Linked DNA regions of Macaca fascicularis. The protein of the gene in region 1 purifies or fractionates together with the protein of each later gene. This does not show direct contact. Links are inferred from orthologs where the notes say so. Each region holds a gene or a part of one and is shown on either strand. Other genes may lie near its edges. The genes, in order: SLC38A9, LAMTOR3, LAMTOR4 and LAMTOR1.

Region 1 (4,110 bases):
CAGGCAGGTGCCACCCTCCCTAGTTAATTTTTTGAATTCTTTTGTAGAGATGGGGTCTCCCTATGTTGCCCAGACTGGTCTCCAACTCAAGTGGCCTCAAGTGATTCTCCCACCTCAACCTCCCAAAATGCTGGGATTACAGGCATAAGCCACGGAGCCGGCCTAAATTTTGAGTTTTTTTCTGGCATTACAGACACTGTTTTTTTTCTGGTTTAAACAGAAAAAAGAAAAAGAAACAAAAAGAGCTACTGGCTTCCTTTGTAAGAAGAGCTAGGCCGGGCGCGGTGGCTCAAGCCTGTAATCCCAGCACTTTGGGAGGCCGAGACGGGCGAATCACGAGTTCAGGAGATCGAGACCATCCTGGCTAACACGGTGAAACCCCGTCTCTACTAAAATACAAAAAAAAAAAATTAGCCGGGCGAGGTGGCGGGCGCCTGTACTCGCAGCTACTCGGGAGGCTGAGGCAGGAGAATGGCGTGAACCCGGGAGGCGGGGCTTGCAGTGAGCTGAGATCCGGCCACTGCACTCCAGCCTGGGCAACAGAGCCAGACTCCGTCTCAAAAAAAAAAAAAAAAAAAAAAAGAAGAGCTTAGGGTTGCCACATGCTTTTCAGGGACTGACCTTGAACTGATTTTCATAACAAACACATTAATTTTACTTAGACTGTATGTTTACTTGGGGAGGTTTTGGGGAAAATTGCTGGGTATGTGGGGTGGGCCTCTAAAATCCTTGTAAAGCCGCTTTTAGCCTAGAGACTAACTTGCAAACACAGTTTTAAAAAACAAACCCAAATATCTAGACGACGGAGGGAGCATGCCAACTCAACAGTTTTTCAAACCAGCTTCCCTTTGCGTCTGTAGGGTCCAAGGACGTAACTAGATCACACAACACGCGCCTGGAAAGCCCAAAAGAGGGGTGATCCCTCGATGGAGGTGCCGCATCAGCGTTTTCTCACGTGGCCTCCGGGGCTCTATGAATGGCAAGAGATCGCATTCCTTCTACTATCCCTCCCGGCCTCCAGCCGGGACAAGGAACTGGAGCAAACTCCGGACTGCAGTTCCGACCAGACTTGCCTACCTAGGCGGGTCGGCTGCCCAGTCTCCTGAAGCCTTGGGGCTGGGCCCTGCGGTGATGGGCGTGCTGGCCGTCGCAGAGCCCTCTGGGAGTTGTAGTCCGTAGCGGCGAGAGGTTTGACAGCGACCGCCGGCTTGGCGCATTCAGAACTCCAACCCCCGCCGGCCCCCGCGGCCTAGTCTGTTGCCGCTTCCTGTTTGGACTGGGAGTCCCGCGGTCGCAAATTGTGAGAATTTGGGAAGGGAGTCTTCATCTTCTCGTCTAGTTCTCCAAGGTTGAAGGCTCGGCCTGCTCAGGTAGATCACGTTCCCACGTCTAGCATACTCGCCTCTCGGGGAGGTGGGGAGGTATCCGAGGGAAGGCGGCGGGAAGGGTTGAGGTTGGGGCGAAGCCGGCTGTCACCTGGGATAGTTCTTCAATGTAGCGCGTCAGAACCGTAGCTTCTTTTGGGGATCGGGGAGGCCAAAGTCTGGAGCCGCGGAGACTGCTCCGGAGGCACTGCGCGCGCTCCTCAAGGGCTCAGTGAAAGGAAGTCAGGAGTCCCTCGGGGTCTGAGGGAATCCGAGTGTATGTGGGAGTCGGTGTCAGCTGGAGCCTTAGGGAAAAGATAGGGTTAGGGTAAATGAACACCCTGACCCTCGGGTGAGAGAAGGAGGGAGCAGGAGAATTGGGGAGCTTGTAGGAATGGGAGCACCCTTCTTTCTCTCTCTTGAGACAGGGTCTCCCTCCGTCGCTTGGGCTTGAGTGAGGTGGCGCGATCATGGCTAGGAGCACCTTTCTCCATCCCGAGTTGGGGAGATCTAGGGGGGAACATGAGGGAGGAACCCCCTTTAGGCCTTGAGCTAGGACCACAGATGGGGTGAGGGCCATGACTGGTAAGCCCTCGCCACGCTTTTCACACGACTCAGTTGTGAGAATGAGTGTGTCGATAGTGGGTAGCTTGACATGTCAGCATAGTAGAGCTGGAAGAGGGGTTTGAGAGCAGCTAGTCAAGCGCATTCTCCTCATTTTACAGAGAAGGAAACTGAAGTCCACCGAGTTGGAGAAACCCACTCAACACCAGGTAACCATTTAATGGCAAACTTGACTAAAACCTAATTGTTATGACTCCCGGGCAGTGTCTTATCCATTGCCGAGCTCCGTCCCCCTCGTAGATCAGCACACTATAAGTTGTACCTCCACTTTGTTTTCTTTTTTCTTTTCTCCCCTCCCCCCCCCTCCCCCGCCCACACACACAGAGTCTCGCTCTATCGCCCAGGCTGGAGTGCAGTGGAGCGATCTTGGCTCACTGCAAGCTCCGCCTCCCTGGTTCAAGCGATTCTCGTGCCTCAGCCTCCTGAGTAGCTAGGATTACAGCTGCCCGCCACCACGCCCCAATAATTTTTGTATTTTTAGTAGAAATGGGGTTTCACCATGTTGGCCAGCCTGGTCTTGAACTCCTGATCTCAATGATCCTCCCGCCTTGGCCTCCCAAAGTGCTGCGATTACAGGCGTGGGCCACCGCGCCCGGCCCCTTTTTTCTTTTTAATATTTTCAGACATGACAAAGATCTGACATATGTAGGATAGCAGGCAGCTGCTGAGGAGAAAGGTTTTTTAAAAACGTTTTGGCCGGGCGCGGTGGCTCACACCTGTAATCCCAGCACTTTGGGGGGCTGAGGCAGGCACATCACGAGGTCATGAGATCAAGACTGTCCTGGCCAATATGGTAAAACCCAGTCTCTACTAAAAAAAATACCAAAACTAGCCAGGTGTGGTGGCGCATGCCTGTAGTCCCAGCTACTCACGAGGCTAAGGCAGGAGAATCTCTTGAACCTGGGAGGCGGAGGTTGCAGTGAGCCGAGATCGTGCCACACTGCACTCCAGCCTGGTGACAGAGTGAGACTCTGTCTCAAAAAAAAAAAAAAAACAAACAAACAAAAAAAAAATGTTTCAATAGGTCAAAATAACCCATGTCCTAACTTAAGAAAAATCTCTCTGCCTCGTAAACAACTACAAACTTCATGTTAAGATAGAAGGTTGGGCCGATTGTGGTAGCTAACACCTGTAATCCCAACACTTTTGGGAGGCTGAAGTGGACGGATCATTTGAGGTTAGGAGTTCAAGACCAGCCTGGCGAACATGGTTATACCCTGTCTCTACTAAAAATACAAAAATCATCCAGGCGTGGTGGTGTGCCTCTCATCTGTAATCCCAGCTACTTGGGAGGCTGAGGCAGGAGAATCACTTGAGCCTGGCAGGCAGAGGTTGCAGTGAGCCAAGATTGCACCACTGCACTCCAGCCTGAGCCACAGAGCGAGACCCTGTCCAAAAAAAAAAAAAAAAAAGTTGTCATCTATAGTTTCTTTGTTTCTAAGAAAATAAAATTTACCTTTCCTTCCCCTAGACCTCTGAGAACAGCTAGACTTAGATTTCTTTTCTTTTCTTTTCTTTTCTTTTTTTTTTTTTTGAGATGGAGTCTCGCTCTGTTGCCAGGCTGGAGTGCAGTGGCGCGATCTCGGCTCACTGCAACCTCTGCCTCCTGAGTTCAAGCGATTCCTCTGCCTCAGCCTCCCAAGTAGCTGGGACTACAGGCACACGCCACCACACCCGGCTAATTTTTTTTTTTGTATTTTGGTAGAGACGGGGTTTCACCATGTTGGCCAGGATGGTCTCAATCTCCTGACCTCGTGATCCGCCTGACTCGGCCTCCCAAAGTGCTGGGATTACAGGCGTGAGACACGTGGCCAGCCAGTTAGCCTTAGATGTCCAATCACAATCTTAAATACTATATATTTCAGTTACATACATAAAATAATATACTTTTAATTGTGATTTTGTAATACCCTTAATATTTACAATAAAGGGTAACTCAGCATAGGAGGATGGAATACCAACCTGAACTACAAATTAAAATAGTATTGTTTAGTATTTTTTTTTCTTTTTGGGGTTCTTTTTGCTCTGATACTCAAGCTTTAGTGCAGTGGCACTATCATAGCTCACTGTAACCTTGAACTCCTGGGTTCAAGCAATCCGCCTGCTTCAGTCTCCCGAAGCG
Region 2 (3,561 bases), on another chromosome or scaffold:
TGTTTTCTAGGTTCTCATATCACTATGAACTTTTTTTTTTTTTTTTTTTTTTTGAGACAGAGTCTTGCTTTGTTGCCCAGGCTGGAGTGCAGTGGCACGATCTCAGCTCACTGCAAGCTCCGCCTCCCGGGTTCATGCCATTCTCCTGCCTCAGCCTCCTGAGTAGCTGGGACTACAGGTGCCCACCACCACGCCCGGCTAATTTTTTTTTTTTTTTTGTATTTTCAGTAGATGAGGTTTCACCGTGTTAGCCAGGATGGTCTCGATCTCCTGACCTCGTGATCTGCCCGCCTCAGCCTCCCAAAGTGTTGGGATTACAGGCGTGAGCCACCATGCCTGGCCCCTATGAACTTTTTAACAATACTTGCCCCCAATTTTAGTTTTACGTTTGTTCTTGTGAGATTATTGATAACACACTCACTTTTTAGATCGGAAGCCACGTGAAGGCAATGATTGTGCTTATTTCTGTTTTTCATAGTATCAAAGTATTAAGTGCCACAAACACCGGCCATTTAATATTTGCATGAATGAAAAAAGAAGAAGGCTCTTTTTTGTCACTGCAGCCATTGCTGATAATCTTTCATGCTTTTGTAAACCATGGACTGATCATTCATTAGCAGTTTTAATGGAGAGTTAGCTTTGTCTTAGATTCTTATTAATAAACCGCATGAATTTATAAATATTATAAACATTTCTATAATAGACATTGATTCCATTTCTGGGAGAATTTTGGGGTCCTGTGGTTTTTCAGAAAATACATGAGAATTATTATGTCTTTGAGGTGTATAGTTTGAGAAAATGAAATATTTTATATTTTAACTTTTTTTATATTTTAACTATTTTCTTTTTCTAGTGTTGAAGGGCTCCATGCCATTGTTGTATCAGATAGAGATGGAGTACCTGTTATTAAAGGTAAAAGTGAACATTTAAATGCAAATATCTTCTTTGCTTTTGACTAAAAATGCGTGTAATTTACATCTGAGTAGTACAGCAGGCAAACATCTAAAATTCATTTTAGTAAATTTTAGGAGATGGTGGTCTTAGTATTGGCGGAAGTGTTTGCTTTTGTATGCTGAAGGTTGAATTTGAATCTACAGTGTATTATATATCAGGTGTATCATGTTAACATCTAGAGTTTAAGCATGGATTTATCACAGACCCATTTCCCGTTGAAGACATTTACAGTGCAATGTAAACCATTAGTAAATCTAAGTGATGAGAGTGAGCATGTAGGCAGCTAGATAAACACACAGACACCCCTACATTACACACACACACACACACACACACACACTTTATCAAATTGCTAGTTGTTTTAGGATAATACCCATGTATTTGAATCATAAGTAAACATGATGTCACAGAGAGTCAGTATGGATTCAGACAATTTTTTACTATTTTTATTTTATGGTATTATGAGCATGGATGTTCCTAGTTTTTTTGGGACACTGTAATGGCTTTATCAAACATTAAAGATTGGATAATGTTCTGTATATTTCGTGTACAATTTTCCACCTGGAGTTGTCATATATGTCAGATAATTTTAGACTTTAGAAATGAACGGAGGTTTAGAAGTCAAGTGATTTAGTTCTTTCATTTTATAAGTGAAGGTAATAAAGTGCAAAGACACTTGGACTTCATTAGCAGTTTCAGTGGAGAGTTAGCTGTGTCTTAGATTCTTATTAATAAACTGCATGAATTTGTAAAGATTATAAACATTTCTATAATAGACATTGATTCCATTTCTGGGAGAATTTTGACAAACACATTATAAGAACATGGAATATCAACAAAGGAGGTCCTGTGGTTTATAATCTTCAAACATTGCAGTCCAAAGTCGGGCGTGAGTCAGTAACAGAACCCATCATCTCCTGATGTGTGGTCCAGTGTGCTTTCTAACTCACTATAAAATGGTCGTTGAATGGTTGTGGACAGATTACTTGCTTTCTCTTAATTCTGTAATGAGGGATTTGAACAAAATAATCTCAGATTTTCCAGTTCTAATGTTCTTCATGAGGATATCTGTGTTAAAGCCTTGAGCCCTGCACTCATTAATACAACAAACTCCATGCAGACCTTTTAATGAGTGAGAGAAACACGAAACAGGTAACTAGCTGCAGATTGCTAATATCTATGAGAGATATTCCTTGCTGTGGGTTTTATAAGAGCAGAAGTTTTGTAACTTTTTTCATTAGTTTATTCTAACCTAGTCCTCAGATAACCAGTTAAATGTGCTTGATTAATCTATGTTTTAAGTTAGATATCAAGAAAAGGTAAACATTTAATTTTCTTTTTAAAATTTAAAAAAATTGTGAGAGTCAGCATTTCTTCTATTGTGATCAGTGAACTTTTGACTGAGCAATTTTTCCTGATTAGTGATGAGACCCCATTAGTGATATGATTTTCAATATTGTGAAACATAACCTTTGTGCTCAGTTTTAAACAGAGGTTTATGAAAAAGGGCTGTAAATCTCTCTATCATATCCTCTGCATAATTTTTATTTAAATCACTTATTTTTCTAGTGGCCAATGACAATGCTCCGGAGCATGCTTTGCGACCTGGTTTCTTATCCACTTTTGCCCTGGCAACAGACCAAGGGAGCAAACTTGGACTTTCAAAAAATAAAAGTATCATCTGTTACTATAACACCTACCAGGTAAGTTCATAATTATCAAATGATTTGCTGATTTCAGTTGTCATTTTTGTACCTTTTATATATAAAATAGTTTGTGTTATAGTTCTCAATTTCAGTTTTGAAGGGGATGAAATTGTAAAATTTTAGCCTTCAAATTGGTTGTGTTAAACGGTAGTAATTTTCTTCACATTTTATACCAGGAAATAATTACGATGGAAAAGTAATTAAGTGACTTAATAAAGTACATGTTATCCTAAAAAGTGTACGTCAGGTCACTGTTATCTCCAGTAGATGGTGCCCTTAGCTAAACAACTGTGATTTCTCAGATGACACACTTTTTTTGTTGTAGTAACAGATAAAAAAAACTTTCCTTGAAAGTTTATTAAATTTGCTCTTGCTACTAATTCCTTCATTTTTTGGAAACATATATATGTAATAAATGAGGTTATTATTTGTGGGAAAGAAGTTAGTTTTTACATGTCTCTTGATCTCAAGCTATATTTTCTTAAGACTGAATTAATTCCTTGTGCTTTAGAGCTATGTTTCCTAATCAATTGATGTTAAGTTACTCTTTTTTTTTTTTTTTTTCTTCCGAGACAGAGTCTGCCTGTGTCGCCCCATGCTGGAGTGCAGTGACATGATCTCATCTCACTGCAACTTCCGCCTCTCAGGTTCAAGAGATTCTCAAGCCTCAGCCTCCCAAGTAGCTGGGATTATAGGCATGTGCTACCAGGCCTGGCCAATTTTTGTATTTTTAGTAGAGATGGGCTATCACCATGTTGGCCAGGCTGGTCTTGAACTCCTGGCCTCAAGTGATCCCATCCACTTCAGCCTCCCAAAGTGCTAGGATTACAGACGTGAGCCACCATGCCAGGCCCATCTTTTATTTTAAAAGTTACATATTTTAATGTGTATTAGGTAAAAC
Region 3 (4,256 bases), on another chromosome or scaffold:
CCGCCTTGGTCTCCCAAACTGCTGGGATTACAGGTGTGAGCTACCATGCCCAGCCTTGATTGTTGTTTCTAACAAGTCTTAAAAGACACCCAGACTTCAACAATTGTTACTATATTCAGATTTTTTTGGTTTGTTTTTGAGACAATCTTGCTCTTTTACCCAGTCTGGAGTGCAGTAGCATGATCATGGCTCACTGCAGCTTCAAACTCCTGGGCTCAAGCAATTCTCCCACCTCAGCCTCCCCGGTAGCTGGGACTACATGTGCGGTATCATGCCTGGTTAATTTTTAAATTTTTAGAGATGGGGTCTTGCTATGTTGCCCAGGCTTCTAGAATCACTCTTCATATTACTCACTAACACTGCCTCCACCACATTAATACGGCAACAGGTCTAGAAATTATTTAAAACAAAAATTTCCAATGTTTACATTGTGTGATGTATGTATGTATGTATGTATGTATGTGTGTGTGTGTGTATCATTCCAAGGTACTGTTTCTAATTTTTTCCTGCAGAGAATATTCAGTATTGTATCTGCATTGGCTAGCTGGTGATTCTATTCACCATCACATTGTCCCAGACTGAATCTGAAGACAAAAAACCACTTTGGGAACAAAATCTTTTTTTTTTTTTTTTTTTTTTTTTTTGAGATGTAGTCTCGCTGTCTCCCAGGCTGGAGTGCAGTGGCGTCATCTCGACTCACTGCAAGCTCCACCTCCCAGGTTCGCGCCATTCTCCTGCCTCAGCCTCCCGAATAGCTGGAACTACAGGCGCCCGCCACCACGCCTAGCTAATTTTTTGTATTTTTTAGTAGGGACAGGGTTTCACTGTGTTAGCCAGGATGGTTTCCATCTTCTGACCTCGTGATCCGCCCGCCTCGGCCTCCCAAAGTTCTGGGATTACAGTTGTGAGCCACCGCGCCCGGCCAAGGGAACAAATTCTTGTCTTCAACAAAGAGCGGTCTTGAGTAGGCATAAAAGTAGCATTTGAAGGTTGGGCGCCCAGCCTTGAATAGCTTTTTACATGCATTGCACGTTATTTCCTTTTATTATCACGTTTTTTGGGTCCAGTCTTAAACCTGGGAAGGCATTCGTTTGGGAGGTCACACTGGCGGGCATCCTGGTTCAGGCGGAACCCAGACTCTAGAAAGCGCGCGCGGAGCCACACGGTCAACCCTGTCCCACTCCTGGCCCTCCCACACCGTCCCCTCCGCGGAAGCACTCCCGCCTCCTCTCGCTCAGGCACTGACTGAGAGGCGGAGAGATGGGTGTTAAAGAGGGGATATCACCAATCAACGTGCGCCTCCGGGAAGGAGCGCTTCGCACTGGCTGGTTGGGTCTGACGACGTGGCCACGATCCAATCCTCATGCTAGAGGCGCGGCTAAAGGGTAGGGAAGCAAGCAGAAGGAGGAGCGCGCCGGGTGCGAGCACGTGACCGGGGCCTGAAGCCGGAAGCTACCTATCTGGTAGGGAGCTCCACCAGCACCGAAGACTGCGATGGTGAGTGAGGACGCATGCGCGGGAGGACCCGCCGGGGGTTCCGCGTCTCTGCTCCCCAATCTGTGTGGTTTCCCCCTCGTGGGTCTGCGCTCCACCCTCACCTCCTATCCGCTCGGGGAGGAAGACGGGATGGAGATGGGAGGGATGGCGACGGGAATGCTGGGGAGGGGTCTGTGGGAGGGTGTTCTGGGGCTGCGGGTAGTCTGCAGGTCAGGGGCGGGGAGGTGGAGAGAGGGTCTGGGGGCAGGGGCCAGTGGGGCAGCGAAGTCCCCTCGGAGTAGCATAGGTGGAGCGTGGAAGGCCAGGGGAGCCCGGGGGCCGAGAGTGGGGGCAGATGGAGGCTCGGGAAGATCAGTATTGAGGACCATGTAGGGGGAAGGGAGCCGGGAAAGGACCTGGCTGGGGAATGAGAAAACCTGGGGCCATCGCCAATCAAGAGACTTGGGTTTGTAGGTGAAGGGTATCAGGGGCCATCCATCCCTCTAGCATGCTTCTCACTACTTGCATCTTTACCCACTAGACTTCTGCACTGACCCAGGGGCTGGAGCGAATCCCAGACCAGCTCGGCTACCTGGTACTGAGTGAAGGTGCAGTGCTGGCGGTGCGTTCTGGAAAAGGGAGGGGGTCCCTTAGTGCACACAGCCCGGTAACCCCTTCTAATATTGGCCCTTCTTTTCTCGACTTTTACCTGGTTTGCGGTCTGGCATCTATTAGGTTGGTACAAAAGTATTTGCAGTTTTTGCAATTACTTTCAGTAATCAGTCTGTGGAATCTTAGTCTCCTAACGGTTGCGGTTTATTTATTTATTTATTTATTTACACTTTTTGAAACTGAGTTTCATTCTTGTTGCCCAAGCTGGAGTGCAGTGGTGCGATCTCCGCTCACTGCAACCTCCGCCTCCGGGGTTCAAGCGATTGTCCTGCCTCAGCCTCCAGAGTAGCTGGGATTACAGGCATGTGCCACCACGCTCGGCTAATTTTTTGTATTTTTAGTAGAAACGGGGTTTCACCGTGTTAGCCAGGCTGGTCTCAAACTCCTGACCTCAGGTGATCCACCTGCCTCAGCCTCCCAAAGTGCTGGGATTACAGGCGTGAGCCAACATCCCTGGCCTTTATTTGATATTTCTTAAAGAGTCATTTGTATTTTGTTCCATAGTACTGTATAGTGTTAGGTCTCTAGATGTTTTTGATTTAGCTAGAGACAAAGCTTAAGGTTAAGTGTTGAAAACAATACAGGTGGTAAAAGACTATTGAAGGAATCCAGGATATTAAAAATTCAACATGTTATGACAAGGTAACTAACTTCCCTGGAGGTAGGAATTCAGCCCAGCTTAAAGGAGAGTATTTACAGTGGGGAGGTGGACATATTTGCAGGTGTGTGGCACTGACCTTTCTAAACTGATGGTAAGTCTGTGCTGAAAAGATTTGGGAAGATTTGAGGGAAGAGGAAGATATGGTCAGGGAGGATCTGATTGTGAAGGATCTTCAAGGCCAGGTTAACACACTTGAACTTATTCTTCTTGGAGGTAATACAGCTTGAAAGGTTTTTTAAACAGAAACAAGACCCAGTGAGGTGGTTGAGCAATATTGTTGTTAGTGATGTGAAGATGGGCAGAAGGAGGCATCATTAAGAGATTAGACTGGGCCAGGCATAGGTGGCTCAGGTCTTTAGTAATCCCAGCATTTTGGGAGGCCAAGGCGAGTGGATCACGAGGTCAGGAGAGCTAGACCATCCTGGCCAACACGGTGAAACCCTGTCTCTGTTAAAAATACAAAAACAAAATTGGCCAGGCGTGGTGGTGGGCGCCAGCTACTCGGGAGGCTGAGGCGGGAGAATGGCGTGAACCAGAAAGGCGGAGGTTGCAGTTAGCCAAGATTGCACCACTGCACTCCAGCCTGGGTGACAGAGCAAGACTCCGTCTCAAAAAAAAAAAAAAAAAAAAAGAGATGAGACTGGGCAAGTGGCAGTAAGAAGGAGCAAGGAGAGAAGAGTTTTGTTTTTGTTTTTGTTGTTTTTTGAGACAGAGTCTCGCTCTGTGGCCCAGGCTGGAGTGCAGTGGCATGATCTCAGCTCAGGGCAACCTCCGCCTCCCAGGTTCAAGCGATTCTCCCGCCTAAGCCTCCTGAGTAGCTAGGATTACAGGCGTATGCCACCACACCCGGCTAATTTTTGTATTTTTAGTAGAGATGGGGTTTTGCCATGTTGGCCAGGCTGGTCTCGAACTCCTGACCTTGTGATCTGCCCACCTCAGCCTCCCAAAGTGCTGGGATTACAGGCATGAGCCACCGCGCCCGGCCCTTTTTTTTTTTTTTTTTTTAGGACAGAGTCTTGCTGTCACTCAGGCTGAAGTGCAGTAGTGTGATCACATCTCATTGCAGTCTTGAACTCCTGGGCCCAAGCGATCCTCCCACCTCAGCATCCCAAGTAACTAGAACTATAGGCAAGCACCACCACGCCCAGCCATTAAAAAAAAAAAAATTTATAGGGACAGGGGTCTTGCTATGTTGCCCAGGTTGGTCTCGAAGTCCTGGCCTCCATCAGTCCTCCTGCCTTGGCCTCCCAAAGTGCTGGGATTATAGGTATGAGCTACTGTGCTTGGCTGGGAGAAGATATTTTAAAGGAGGAATCAGTATATCTTGCTAATGACTAGAAATAGGTAATAAAAGAAATACTTCTCTAGCTAGAACTCTAAAGCCTGGAAGAGTGATGATGCCTTAAGAAACATGTTCCTTAAGGCCGCGCGCGGTGGCTCAAGCCTG
Region 4 (4,266 bases), on another chromosome or scaffold:
TTTACAGAACCTCAGGGTCTTGATTTGAGGGGTTATAAGAGGTACGAGATCTGGCGACTTCTGCGATCCCTTGGATCAGGAGATGGGGCATGGGGTGAGCCAAGGTGATGGGGTGACTGTAATGTACTCATTGATACGCAAGTTTTTTGTAAGCAAGGCCATGCCTTGGGCCACAGGTAAGAGTCAGAACCTGTCATTGTGCTCTAGGAACTCCCAAGTTTGGTAGGTGAGACTGACCCAGGAACATAGAATATAGTGTGATCACTATTGGATGTTCCACGACTACAGGGACTTTGGCTGTTTTGTGAACTGATGCATATCCAGATATAACAGTGTGTGGCACATAGTAGATGCTCAGCAAATATTTGTTAATAGATGCATGAATTAACACTGGATGAGGATTAAGCATAGAGAGCTGGACATGTCCAGAGAATGGGGTCAGAGAAGGTAATCAGGAGGACATTGTACTGAGTCTCGAAGACAGTAGGCAGACCAGGCTGCATGTGCAAAGTCCAGTAGATCAATCAGGAAACATCATTTCTCTATGTCCAGTGAAACAGATTGCTCACCCCTCCACCCCCTCACCCCTCACCTCAGAACATGCAGTGGCAGAGAGGTGTCAGGCTCTGCGTGACTTTGATATGTCAGATGGGTAATGTGCCAAAACAAGATTTGAGGGTGGGCGCATTTCACACACGCGGAATCACACGCGCATGAACAACAAATGGATCACTATACAATTTTGGACGGACTTGGACCTGTGTTCAGGGCCCAAGGGAAGACATGGGGGAGGAGGGGCGTTTAGGAAAAGAGAACTGATGGTCAGCTTTGTGCGTTAGATTTACTATGGGTCCTGTTAAAAAAAAGGCAGAATTAAAGATAAAAGCCTGAAGGCAGAGAGGTCAGTGAGGTGACTTCTATCTCCTCCACCAGGATTTATCTCCGCTCCGCGTCAGCATGTGAAGGTAGTATAAGGTCCCTTCTTCCTGTAAGTCGCAGATCCCCAGCCCAGGTGCAGAATACACCCTCCGTGTATTCACCCCCAGCCCAGCTGGGCGATACACCCTCTGTTCCCCTACTGGGTACCGGTCATCTGGATCCTCTGTGTGTGCACCCAGGCTGTACGATCTAGGAGCGTCAGGCCTGGATCCCACTCGCCCCTCGCATGGCATTTAGAAGAGTATATCACGAGGGCATACAAGGGCATTTGGTACGAGTTCGCTCAATGGCCCAGAGAAGTGGCCTAGTGGCCACGAGAACGCATAACACTATTCACGACGGCCACTACTGCCAGTTTAGAGACTGGAAAGATGAAGTCATGTGATCCGCCCCTCCCTTTCCTCGCTTCACTTGCCTGCGTGTCCGGTTACGCCTTCCTATTGGTTGACAACGATCACGCGCTAGCGGGCGGGACCGGAAGCCGGGGTATTGCCTGAGGCGGCCCAGCGGCTCCGGGAGAAGGGATACTGGGGGTGGCGGCGGGTGGTTGCCTGCGGGAGGCAGTTGCGGGTCATGTGACCGGAAGGGCTCCTGACGGACGCCGTCCCTCCTCGGCGCGGCCTGAGCGCCCGGCCTGACCCCTGCCATGGGGTGCTGCTACAGCAGCGAGAACGAGGACTCGGACCAGGTGCGGCCGCGGCAGGCGGGGCTCGGGAATGAGGGCTAAGACCCTGGGGCTTGGGGCCCCAGAAAGAAATCTGCGGAGAACGGGCCAGGACTGCAGGGCTCGATGAATACGGAGGCCTGGAGGGGACAGATTACACAGGAGACGCCAAGCCGGACTCCTACCCCAGTTAAAGCCCCAGCTTTCTACGCGGTCCCCGCCTCGGGGTGTACAGGCAGCCGCCTGTCCGGCTCGCTCCCACCACTTCCGTTTGCTCCTACCTTCAAAACTTTCCAGATTCAAGGATCCTCAGTCTAGGTCCCCGGGAAATACTCCCTTCCCAGCTTCCTGTCTTCTCTGTATTAGTGGGCTTTGCGAATCCATTGCAGGGGTGGGTAAGCTGAGGCCCTGAGTTAGGCTGTCCTGCGATGAATCAGGAATTCATGTATCGTCTTAGTCCCTGGGGTTGCAGAAGGAAGGTCGCTGCTAGTTTAGGGCCAGAGGACGATTCTGGAAGTTGGTGGCCTTTGAGTTGGCCAATGAAGGATTTAATGGATACAGTGAGGACATCGGGACATGGGGGAAATTGTCTGGGAAGCAACAAAGAGGGTTTAGCTTTGACTAGATTGTGGTAAAAGAGAAATGGAGCGGGAAGTTCATTTGGGTCTGAGTTTGGCTTGCCTCAGTGCAGTCTGCCTGGGGCCTGAGGGTTCCTTTAGCTGGAGACATGCCTGTTCTGAGAATTTGGCTGTAGATCTGATCCCTCTGACGAAAGGCTTAGGCTGGGGAGACCTGTACAGTTTTAAATTCTCCCTCTTCCTCTTAGTGCATTCTCACTTCTCTCCACATTCTAATCCCTGCCCCGCCTGGCCTGACATTCAAGGATGAAGTCACAAGTTGCTGTCCACTCTTTTTTGATCGTCTCTAACCCTGGATTCTACATTTGAACATATAGTAGACCTGAGAAAGTAGAAAGGTTTCAAGTAGCTCACAGTCTAATAGGGGAGATGGTCACAAAAATAGATTATATCACTGGTACTTGGGAAGTAGTTATTTCTTCAGTGAACGTATTTTGGATTAAGGGCTTAAGCTTAGGAAAATGTCATTTGTGGCCGGGCGCGGTGGCTCAAGCCTGTAATCCCAGCACTTTGGGAGGCCGAGACGGGTGGATCATGAGGTCAGGAGATCGAGACCATCCTGGCTAACACGGTGAAACCCCGTCTCTACTAAAACAGGCAAAAAAAAACTAGCTGGGTGAGGTGGCGGGCGCCTGTAGTCCCAGCTACTCGGGAGGCTGAGGCAGGAGAATGGCGTGGACCCGGGAGGCAGAGCTTGCAGTGAGCTGAGATCCGGCCACTGCACTCCAGCCTGGGAGACAGTGAGACTCCGTCTCAAAAAAAAAAAAAAAAGAAAATGTCATTTTTATGGGAAGCAAGGGTCGCTTCTGGTTCTCAATTCTTCATACACCCAATGAACACATATTTCCTTTGCTCTGTGTTAGGCATGTGTCATGCCTAATACCTCTCACTTCACCTCCACCTTTTTGAGAAAGAGACAACAATAACCCTGCCTACTGGGAGAGCTGTGGCCTAGTGGGAAATTGTCCCTTAAAGCATAATGTGGACTCTTGCAGGGAATGAGTCAAGAAGGATTAATGCCTTATGAGAAAGGATACCAGCTTCTACTTGGAAGGGAGAGCTGGGCCTGCTGCTCTCCTGAATCTCTACCTTCTCCTTGGTGGGCTCTCCTTTCTGTTCCTAACACCCAGAGAAGATGTTTAATCACTGCTGGGTGATTTGAGGCCTCACGTAGCAAGAGCCGTAACCATCCACCTCCCAGAGTCCCTCTTTCAGTTCTTGGGCAGGCTCCTCTCCCACTCTCATCTCTGTCTCTTTATCACAATAAAAAATGTACAACACATTACAGTTTACAAAGGGCCGTGATAGTTATCTAATTTGACTCTTGCCAGACATCTGTCATATTAGTGTGGGTTATGTCTATTTAAAGGTGAGGAAAAAGTTCAGAGAAGCTAAGTGATTTGGCCAAGCTGGGAAGTGCTAATGCCCGGGTGTTCTGATGCCAAGCCATGTACTTTATCCATGGGGCCAAGCAGTCTCATCTATGCCCCTAGACCAGGTGGCCAGTCATGGGCAGGGTGCTATGTCTGTGCTAAGGTAGACAGTGAAACCCTGCCTCTTGGGTTACACTGACGCAGAGACAAACCTTGATGTGACAAACCTAACCCATGCTCCACTCGCACTTCGGGAGTGGGGTGATACTTGTCTACTCTGAAGGGGGTAGCATGGCCTCTTCTTTAAGTCTAGGTTTCAAGAAAACAACCTTGTTCCTCCCTTGATCTTAGCTGAAGGCTGAGAAGTGATCAGCCAGCCTTCTTCTTGAAGAACCCCTGATAGGGAAGAGACTACCCTGTCCTGCAGGAAGATCTGTCTGAAGTGGAGCTGGGAGAAGGACAGACACATAGGAAGCTAACTTGGGCCTCATTATGGAGCCAGCTTTCCTTAGAAATACATAGTTTTATCTTTGGCAAACATTTTGTCTTTTTAGCTCTTTAATGCTGAGCCTGTGTTTTAGGGAGGAAGGGTGTCTGGGAGTTTACAGAGGTGATGGGGCAAAGCCCACAGCTTCTGTCTTTTGCTGCTGGG

What was found.
Region 2: the proteins of SLC38A9 (region 1) and LAMTOR3 purify together in Homo sapiens (affinity purification with mass spectrometry; 3 studies listed by BioGRID and IntAct, with this or other methods). This does not show direct contact. The link is inferred for Macaca fascicularis from reciprocal best matches to the Homo sapiens genes SLC38A9 and LAMTOR3.
Region 3: the proteins of SLC38A9 (region 1) and LAMTOR4 purify together in Homo sapiens (affinity purification with mass spectrometry; 4 studies listed by BioGRID and IntAct, with this or other methods). This does not show direct contact. The link is inferred for Macaca fascicularis from reciprocal best matches to the Homo sapiens genes SLC38A9 and LAMTOR4.
Region 4: the proteins of SLC38A9 (region 1) and LAMTOR1 purify together in Homo sapiens (co-immunoprecipitation; 5 studies listed by BioGRID and IntAct, with this or other methods). This does not show direct contact. The link is inferred for Macaca fascicularis from reciprocal best matches to the Homo sapiens genes SLC38A9 and LAMTOR1.

What each region holds. Positions count from the first base shown.
Region 1 is NC_088380.1:61,147,955-61,152,064, reverse strand, and holds the start of SLC38A9 (neutral amino acid transporter 9), read left to right. Parts: upstream 1-1,289; 5' UTR 1,290-1,370; intron 1,371-2,089; 5' UTR 2,090-2,137; intron 2,138-4,110.
Region 2 is NC_088379.1:105,526,554-105,530,114, reverse strand, and holds part of LAMTOR3 (ragulator complex protein LAMTOR3), read left to right. Parts: intron 1-853; coding exon 854-912; intron 913-2,523; coding exon 2,524-2,657; intron 2,658-3,561. UniProt on the Homo sapiens protein: As part of the Ragulator complex it is involved in amino acid sensing and activation of mTORC1, a signaling complex promoting cell growth in response to growth factors, energy levels, and amino acids.
Region 3 is NC_088377.1:48,815,622-48,819,877, forward strand, and holds the start of LAMTOR4 (ragulator complex protein LAMTOR4), read left to right. Parts: upstream 1-1,420; 5' UTR 1,421-1,494; coding exon 1,495-1,497; intron 1,498-2,017; coding exon 2,018-2,098; intron 2,099-4,256. UniProt on the Homo sapiens protein: As part of the Ragulator complex it is involved in amino acid sensing and activation of mTORC1, a signaling complex promoting cell growth in response to growth factors, energy levels, and amino acids.
Region 4 is NC_088388.1:70,863,865-70,868,130, reverse strand, and holds the start of LAMTOR1 (ragulator complex protein LAMTOR1), read left to right. Parts: upstream 1-1,456; 5' UTR 1,457-1,585; coding exon 1,586-1,627; intron 1,628-4,266. UniProt on the Homo sapiens protein: Key component of the Ragulator complex, a multiprotein complex involved in amino acid sensing and activation of mTORC1, a signaling complex promoting cell growth in response to growth factors, energy levels, and amino acids.